Daphnia pulex: one gene and its partner. The protein of the gene in region 1 purifies or fractionates together with the protein of each later gene. This does not show direct contact. Links are inferred from orthologs where the notes say so. Each region holds a gene or a part of one and is shown in the gene's direction. Other genes may lie near its edges.

Region 1 (4,197 bases):
ATTATTATTTTTTTTTATTTTATTTTAACGAGGCCCGAAAGGAAAAGCTTGCAATATCCAAGTATTTCTATGAAGCGGTTCCTCTTTGAACGGAATCTTGAATCTGGCATCTGAAAGGAAAATAGGAAAATGGGTATACTACACTGCCAGACACAACATTGAACACTGGTGCATTACTTTTCACAGAATAATAATCAGGAGCTGTCAGAGATGTGGCAGCTTTTGGTCCTGAGTTGTTTTCTGACATCGTTTGATTGTATGACTTGTATGATTGCCAGTTATCAGTCTCTTTACTGTCTGAAGAGTCACTATCACCCTTCTTTTGATTCTGTCGCCACTTGAGGTTGTACTGTTTCCGCTTCTCTCTTCTTTGCTCTGGTGTCAGCTTGTCCCACCATTTTTTACATTGTTCTTGGTGTTTCCTGCTAATCTCCCCAAATCTCTCAGCTTCATTGATTCTCATTTTTTCCTTCCACATCCTGAAAAATTAAAATAGAAAGCCAACATTGATAATTGTTAATCATAAGGCATGCAAATTTGTGAGAAAGTACCTGGTCCTTTCACGCTGCATTTCTCTATATTCTGCACTTTTAGCCACATCAGTTTTGAGTTTTTCTCTCCATCTTTTTTGGTGTTCACGAGCTTTAGCACGTTGTTCATCTGATGTTATTTTAGTTGCACATCGTCGAATATTACTAGCTACAGAAGGAGATCGGTGAATTTCGGGCGAAACACTATTGTGCATAGAATTACGAGCTGCCACAAAAGGATGCAACCGCGATATGAAGCGATTGTTGTCCATTTCACAAGTTGTTTTTTTAAATAAGTTGAGCCTAAGAGCGTGAACTCTCAATCATGAATTTGAACAAAAACCTCGTTCTAATCAGAGGCCGAGAGGAAAAACTATTGCTTGGAAAACAAAATAGACTTTTCTTATGTGAAAGTTCCTCACTGACACAATTGTGTTTCTTGTGTTTACTAGAAAAAATAGGAGGATTGGAAAGGAGAGAAGCTACAGTGTTGCCACTGTCATTATTTATTTTACTTTTCTCCTTTCTTTGTTTTCTCTAAATTCCTAATCAACTGCTAGCTACCAGTTTATTCTACAAATATTAAAATACAAAATAATGTACGAAAGCTTTAAGAAATGGTTAATATCGCTTGTGTTTTATTTTTATGGGTTAAATTTTTGTGAAGTTTTTATATTTGTGTCGCTACTCGCTAGTCGTTTGTGCAAAGTGCAATGTCGTTAATACTTCGTTAATACTTCAAACACAATGAGCCGGAATTTACACATCTTTAAGAAATTATATAAAAGTTGACAATCTACACAATACACATTTAGAAAACTAACTTAAAAAAGAGTAGTGCCGAAGATGAAAATGTTGAATTGCCTCAATGCTTGAGGCGATGTCCTACATATGGAACATTGCCCTGCATTGCCTCTCTCTAGACTTTAGATCATAACGTTTTATATATTGAGGGACAAACAAATATTTTTAAAATAATATCTTAATTTTTGAATAAATTTCTTTAAATAAAGCAGCTTTGATTTCAATTGCGAGTATGGTCATTTTCATGGTTGCTGATTAGTAGTAAAAATTTGTCATGGCAAACCGGCAACGTTTCAAGACTCGTGTAAGTCTGCATGAAACTCATTTTCTCACTGCATTTCTGACTATTCAGACCACGTGTGCCCGGTTATCTTAAAGAAGCTATTAAGAGGTCCACGTTTTAAGAAAAATGCTTGTCTTATTTGAAACTCCAGCAGGCTATGCTGTGTTTAAGGTAAATTTATTTTATATTTTCGTGTGTACGATTAATTCAAATATTTTTGTTTATAGCTGTTAGATGAAAAGAAACTTCAGCAGACTGACAATCTTTTCCAAGATTTTCAGACACCTGAAGGTGCAAGCAAAGTGTAAGTAACCACTACACAACTGTAATTTTTTTTAGTGCTGGGTTAATAACTATTGGTTCTTTAGGGTAAAATTGAAGCATTTTAAAAAATTTACTGACACCACAGAAGCTTTGTCTGCCACAACTGCCGCTATTGAAGGCAAACTATCCAAGACCCTTCGTAAGACGTTAAAATCTCTCTTTGCAGAGGAGGCTCATGAAGCCTTAGCTGTTGCTGATGCTAAACTTGGTTCAGCTATTAAAGGTAACTGACATTAAATAATTGCTTATAGGACAATTAATAACTTTATTTTTCTAATAGAAAAATTACAGATAAACTGTCTGTCAAACTCTGCAATTCAAGAGCTTATGAGATGTATCCGAAGCCAAGCAGACAGTCTCATGGGAGGACTCCCCAAGCAAGAAATGATGGCCATGGCTCTGGGCTTAGCCCACAGCCTGTCGAGATACAAGCTGAAGTTCAGCCCAGACAAAATTGATACAATGATTGTTCAAGTATGATTTCATTGTTATGACTTTGTAACAAAAATTACTAACTACTTTTTCTTACAGGCTGTTTCTCTGTTGGATGACTTGGACAAAGAATTGAACAATTACGTGATGCGCTGCCGTGAGTGGTACGGCTGGCACTTCCCTGAAATGGGAAAAATCGTTACGGATAACTTGGCCTTCGTCCGAACAGTCCAAAAAATGGGAATTCGAACTAACGCTGCAACTACAGATCTTTCAGAAATTCTTCCGGAAGACGTCGAGGAAAAGGTCAAGGAAGCTGCGGAAATATCGATGGGAACAGAAATTGCAGAGGAAGATATTTTGAATATTTCACATTTGTGTGAACAGGTATTGTTATAATTTTAACAGTTGTAAACAGGTTGTTAACTTATCGTTTTCTGTGTGCAAAGGTTACCGAAATCACTGAATACCGCAGTCAACTGTACGAATATTTGAAGAGCAGAATGCTTGCCATCGCTCCGAATTTAACAGTTTTAGTTGGCGAACTTGTTGGTGCCCGACTCATCTCTCACGCTGGGTCTTTAATGAATTTGGCCAAACATCCTGCTTCAACTGTTCAAATTCTTGGTGCAGAGAAAGCTCTTTTCCGCGCCCTTAAAACTAAACACGATACGCCTAAATACGGTCTTATTTATCATGCTCAACTTGTTGGCCAGTCGTCAACCAAGCTGAAAGGAAAAGTTTCGCGTATGCTTGCTGCTAAAGCTGCTCTTGCTTGCCGTGTCGACGCATTGGGAGATGATGTTAATTCAGACCTCGGTACCGAACATCGTGCCAAACTCGAATCCCGTCTCCGAGTTCTTGAACAAGGGGGCATCACGCGCATTTCAGGCACAGGCAGACAGAGTGGTAAATTTGACGTTTATCAGAACAAGAGTGAGGTAAGGCAATACGACGCGGCTGCAGACTCTACACTTGCCACTAAACGCAAGGGAGACGAATCCGGAACTCCAGCAACCCCAAAACGCATTAAGGTCGAGACGAAGGAAGAACCGGCTGAAGCTGCTGAAGAAGTTGTTGAGAAGAAAGACAAGAAGAAGAAAAAGAAATCAAAGGCAGAGGATGTCGAGGAGCCACCCGTGGCTGCTGAAGCTGAAGAGGCTGCTGGAACTGTTGAAAAAAAGAAGAAGAAGAAGAAAAAGTCTGCCGAATGAAAAAGTTACAGCAACAATATTTTTTTTTATTCTCTGTATCGTGAGAAGCACGTTTTTGTTGGATTTAATACATCCGCGACATTTATCAAATTGTTTGTGCAGCCTCATTATCTTTCCTAAGACAGTTCAGCATAGCGCAGATATATTTACTGTTTTGTATATTTTTAAAGCATTGGTAGAAAATTTCGTTTGGTTGTACTATTTTAGTGATTCCATTAAATATTTAGAGGACTCTTCTCAGACAAACTGACAATTTAACGTTATTTCTAAAACAATTTCAAATTAAAAAAATCACTACTCTATTTTGTGATGGGAACTTAGGTTTTTTGAAGAAAAAAAAAATCCGATGAACGATTGTTATCTTCAATCGATTGATAATATTTTGAAATTGTCGTCTGCTTCGAACCCACGAGTAACAACACGAAAGTCTTAAGTCTTGGCAACTTGTAATGGTAAACAGCTACTACAAAGTACAAACTGCAGACTAGATGAATATTATACAATGATTCCTTGAATAAATGTCGAAATACGACTTTAGTGTGACCCCATATTCCGATATTTAGACGAAATCTTTTCAAATATTGCAACAAGTACATCAAGTGAAACGTAA
Region 2 (3,773 bases), on another chromosome or scaffold:
TCAAGCCTGTCCTGGACCGGCTGAAGGTCGAAAACAATGTTCTGGTGATCGCACACCAAGCAGTTCTGCGCTGCCTTTTGGCAGCCTTGCTCAAAAAAGATGAAAAAGAACTGCCCTACATCCATACACCACTCCATACAGTGATGCGACTGTCGTTTAAACCTGCCGATGGCGGTTGCCATCTGGACCTTATCCCGCTGAGCATCGAATGTGTCGAAACGCACAGAGCCAAACCCGAGGTAACATTTCTTTCACGGTCTAGTTCTTTTGTTTGAAGACTAATCAATTCGACAAAACCCTTCTATAATATTTAGAATTGCAGTCTCACACGAACGGCTGAGGAGGCCTGTGTTACAGTTCCTGCCCATTTCTAATGCAATATGTTTCAGGCATGGAAGGAATTTGTTTTGCACGATTCTCTGGCGCAGATTTGTTTTAATCGATGGGGTTTCGCCTGTACGGTCGATTTCTCTCATCCTTGATTATTTTCCATATTATAACCATTTTTTATACATATATATATATCTGTGATTATATTCGCATAATGTACTGAGTGCTTCAATAACTTAAAAGTATATTCGGGGATTCTTTTTGTTTCTTTTATAAATATGCAAAAGAGAATACAACTCTGGTTAAATGGCTTTAAAAATCAGCCCAGAACCTGCCTGTTTCCTTAAAATCTGCCTTTTTAATTGCTGCCGATCTATTAGACTATTTTTAAAACTGGTCCAAGAACAAGGCAAAATAAGAAATTCTTTTACCACGTACTCGCCAGTTCCAATTTTATTTTTAAAGACTTGCCGACGACCACGGTTCCGTTCGTAACCAACCCAAATGTCAGGGTCTTTGAGTTCACTTAGGAATTTGTTTAGAAAAATAATATTGTTGATCTTTTTAAATCATGTGCTCGAGGAATATTTAATTTATTTTAAATACGATACAATTATTTCTTTTCATTTCTTAATATTTACAATACTACAAGAGGATGAAATTTTATATGGTTAAATTAATTCGTATTTCAAAAAAAATACAACGAGGTAGTCCCAAAAACCCAAACCTTTTTAAAGCTTCTTGCAGCCTTAATATTTCAATAACCTTGACTATTAATGACGAAGTTATTTTTGTAATATGGGTCATTTTAGTTGCATTGACGCATAGATTGGAAATATTCCAAATGGCCTGATGTTGCAGCCAATAATGAAAATAATGACTGAGGGAATCACAAAGAGCTGCAAAGAGTGCTTATCTCTTTTTACAATTAAAAAAGTTTAATGTATTTGAAATGTAATTTTTTGCGTTAAATAAAACTTTGGCAGAGACGCAGAGTTTCTTAGTGCCGACTGCCGAGTGCCGACTGCGGCTTGCGCTTGCCGGCCGCTGCCCGTTGGTGTGTGAGGAAATATTTGAAAGTGTTGCAATGTTGCATGCTTGCAGACGAATATTTCGTTTGTTATTGCCATTCAGTCATGTGGTTGGTGATTCGCCTCACCTTCAAAAGTCCACGTCCACGATTAAAGTTTAGTATTAAAATTTAAAAGAACATTAAGTCTCCTGGAAGTTGAACATTGTAAAATGGCTTTACCCAATCCATTTGCTTTTGGAGCAGTTCCCAAACCGAGTTTTACTCACCTTTCTTCACCAAAGAATCAATCTTTAAATCCTGGGCCTGGATTACCACAAGCACCTCAACCTCAATATAGCAGTGTCAGCGTGACAAGAACGCAACTTAACGATACGAAACACACCAATTTTGGTTTCCAAAAGAACGGTTTTCAAAGCTCACAATATCAATCATTCTCATGTGATCGATGTGACCGCTCATTTAGATCTCAAGAACTTTTGGATTCTCATATAGCTGAACACATTCCTTGTGGAATAAATGGCTGTCCGTTTGTAGCCCATCCTAAAATCGTGGAGAAGCACATTCAAATGCAGCATGAAACAGGCCTTGCTGATCAAATTATGAGACTCAACACGCCAGAAGAGATACAAAAGTGGAGGGAGGAAAGAAAGAAGTAGTACTCAATGTTTATTAATTGTGTAATGTGATTTTAATGGTTTTTATTTAGTCGATTTCCCTCAACTGCTAATGTTGCACGACGACAGGCTGAACAGAAAGAAAAGTTAGAAAGAGGAGAAGTCCTTTATGAACCTAAAAAAAGATTTGGTATGGTGTGATAAAATACTTTTATTCTTGAATAAAAATAATTAATAAATCCTTTTTTGTAGCCAAGGGTAGAAATGAAAGAGGGCAAGGTGAGAAAGGAAAAGGATGGGATGCAAGAAGAAATCAAAACAAGAAAAACAAGAGACAAGAAACAGATGAAACTAGATGTGATACTCAGCAAGTTATATCAGAATTTTCACAAAAGCTTCTTCTAGCAAATGAAACAAAGTCATTCAACACCACAAAAACTCACGAAGCAACAATGGGTCTGAATTTATTTATACTCATAAAAGTTATACTCTCATGAAACTTTTTATTAATTATTTTCTTCTTTAATTTCAATCTCTTTGCTTTTTAGTACAAGTAAAAAAGGAACTTAGTGATGGCGAATTAGATTCGGATAACGAAGGAGAAAAGGCGAAAGCCGCGGCAATTCCTGGTAGCAATGCCCTAGCTCATTTGATGACCTATGCTTCCGATTCTGAAGAAGAAGGAGCAGGTAAAAAACACTATGCCATAATATCCATACCCACACTTATATTTTCTGAAGTTTTAGATGCTAAGAAACCAAAATTGGTTTCAGAAGAAAGTGAAAAGAATGTAAAAAATGTTGAAAAAGAAAAGGCAGAACATTTAACTAAACCATCTAAACAAGCCAAACGTCGAAAGAAGGCGAAAGCACAAAAAAACATACCAGATGTTCCTGCGATTAAAGAACTCATTCGTCCTAAAAGACTGACACTTTTGCAAAAGGTCTTGTTCTATTTTAAAGTTTAATTTAAATTGTTTCCCTAAAAAAATGTATTTTTACAGCTATTGCAAGGGGAAATTTTACATGAACGTAACGTTATCCTCCAATGCGTGCATTACATTGTCCAACAGAATTTCTTCGGCTTTGATGAAGGAAACATGCCACGTACAATAACAGTTGCGGCGGAAGTGAAAGACACATCTTCCTCTCAAACAAATAATCCGTTAGTTAAAATTGAGTTGTAAGTTTGTAGGTTCTCACCGCCTTGAATATATCGAAAGCTGAATGGTGTGTTAAAACTTTTTTTATATTTCTGTTAGAAGAACGCATTAGCTTTCGTCGTCTTTTTTATCATGTAAGCTTGTTCTTAGCACGGGCCGGCACTGTTTGGTTTCTTTTTCTATTTGCCATCGGATTGATTGATTGCAGGAACAAAAATTTTGAGACCACTACCACAGAAGTGCTGGTTAACAAGAGAGGGGGGGGGGCATTGACAACAAGCTTACAGAAATACCAGCCTTGTTTATTAGGAATTTCAAACGAACGTTAACGAATAAGTTTCTAAAGAGAAAGAAGAAAATAACGGCTCGATACTATCAAATCAAAGAATGACAAAACCAGAGGAGAGACGCCGCAAATGTTACTTGTCGTACAAGTCCTGGTGATGGTGTCGCGTTTTGATGTCAGGTGTCGTTAAATTACATTCCGACTTGTAACTACACCGACTTCGCAACCAGATTCTTCGCCATTTCCAATTGGAATGATCAGTTTAGGTAAGTCTAAGTTTACTAGACATTTCCATGTAAACTTTCGCCCTACCACAATGTTGCACTGCCTAATGTCGGATGTTACGTT

What was found.
Region 2: the proteins of nucleolar protein 58-like (region 1) and nuclear fragile X mental retardation-interacting protein 1-like purify together in Homo sapiens (co-immunoprecipitation; 3 studies listed by BioGRID and IntAct, with this or other methods). This does not show direct contact. The link is inferred for Daphnia pulex from reciprocal best matches to the Homo sapiens genes NOP58 and NUFIP1.

What each region holds. Positions count from the first base shown.
Region 1 is NC_060020.1:6,025,416-6,029,612, reverse strand, and holds nucleolar protein 58-like, read left to right. Parts: upstream 1-1,392; 5' UTR 1,393-1,743; coding exon 1,744-1,788; intron 1,789-1,844; coding exon 1,845-1,921; intron 1,922-1,985; coding exon 1,986-2,164; intron 2,165-2,221; coding exon 2,222-2,415; intron 2,416-2,472; coding exon 2,473-2,760; intron 2,761-2,822; coding exon 2,823-3,587; 3' UTR 3,588-3,677; downstream 3,678-4,197. Other genes in the region: golgin subfamily A member 6-like protein 22, read right to left, coding at 25-110, 178-479, 552-802; cysteine-rich protein 2-binding protein-like, read left to right, coding at 4,197-4,197. UniProt on the Homo sapiens protein: Required for the biogenesis of box C/D snoRNAs such as U3, U8 and U14 snoRNAs. Part of the small subunit (SSU) processome, first precursor of the small eukaryotic ribosomal subunit.
Region 2 is NC_060028.1:9,395,738-9,399,510, forward strand, and holds nuclear fragile X mental retardation-interacting protein 1-like, read left to right. Parts: upstream 1-1,447; 5' UTR 1,448-1,572; coding exon 1,573-2,015; intron 2,016-2,069; coding exon 2,070-2,167; intron 2,168-2,229; coding exon 2,230-2,433; intron 2,434-2,525; coding exon 2,526-2,666; intron 2,667-2,717; coding exon 2,718-2,920; intron 2,921-2,980; coding exon 2,981-3,163; 3' UTR 3,164-3,204; downstream 3,205-3,773. Other genes in the region: 6-phosphofructo-2-kinase/fructose-2,6-bisphosphatase 1-like, read left to right, coding at 1-239, 315-374. UniProt on the Homo sapiens protein: Binds RNA.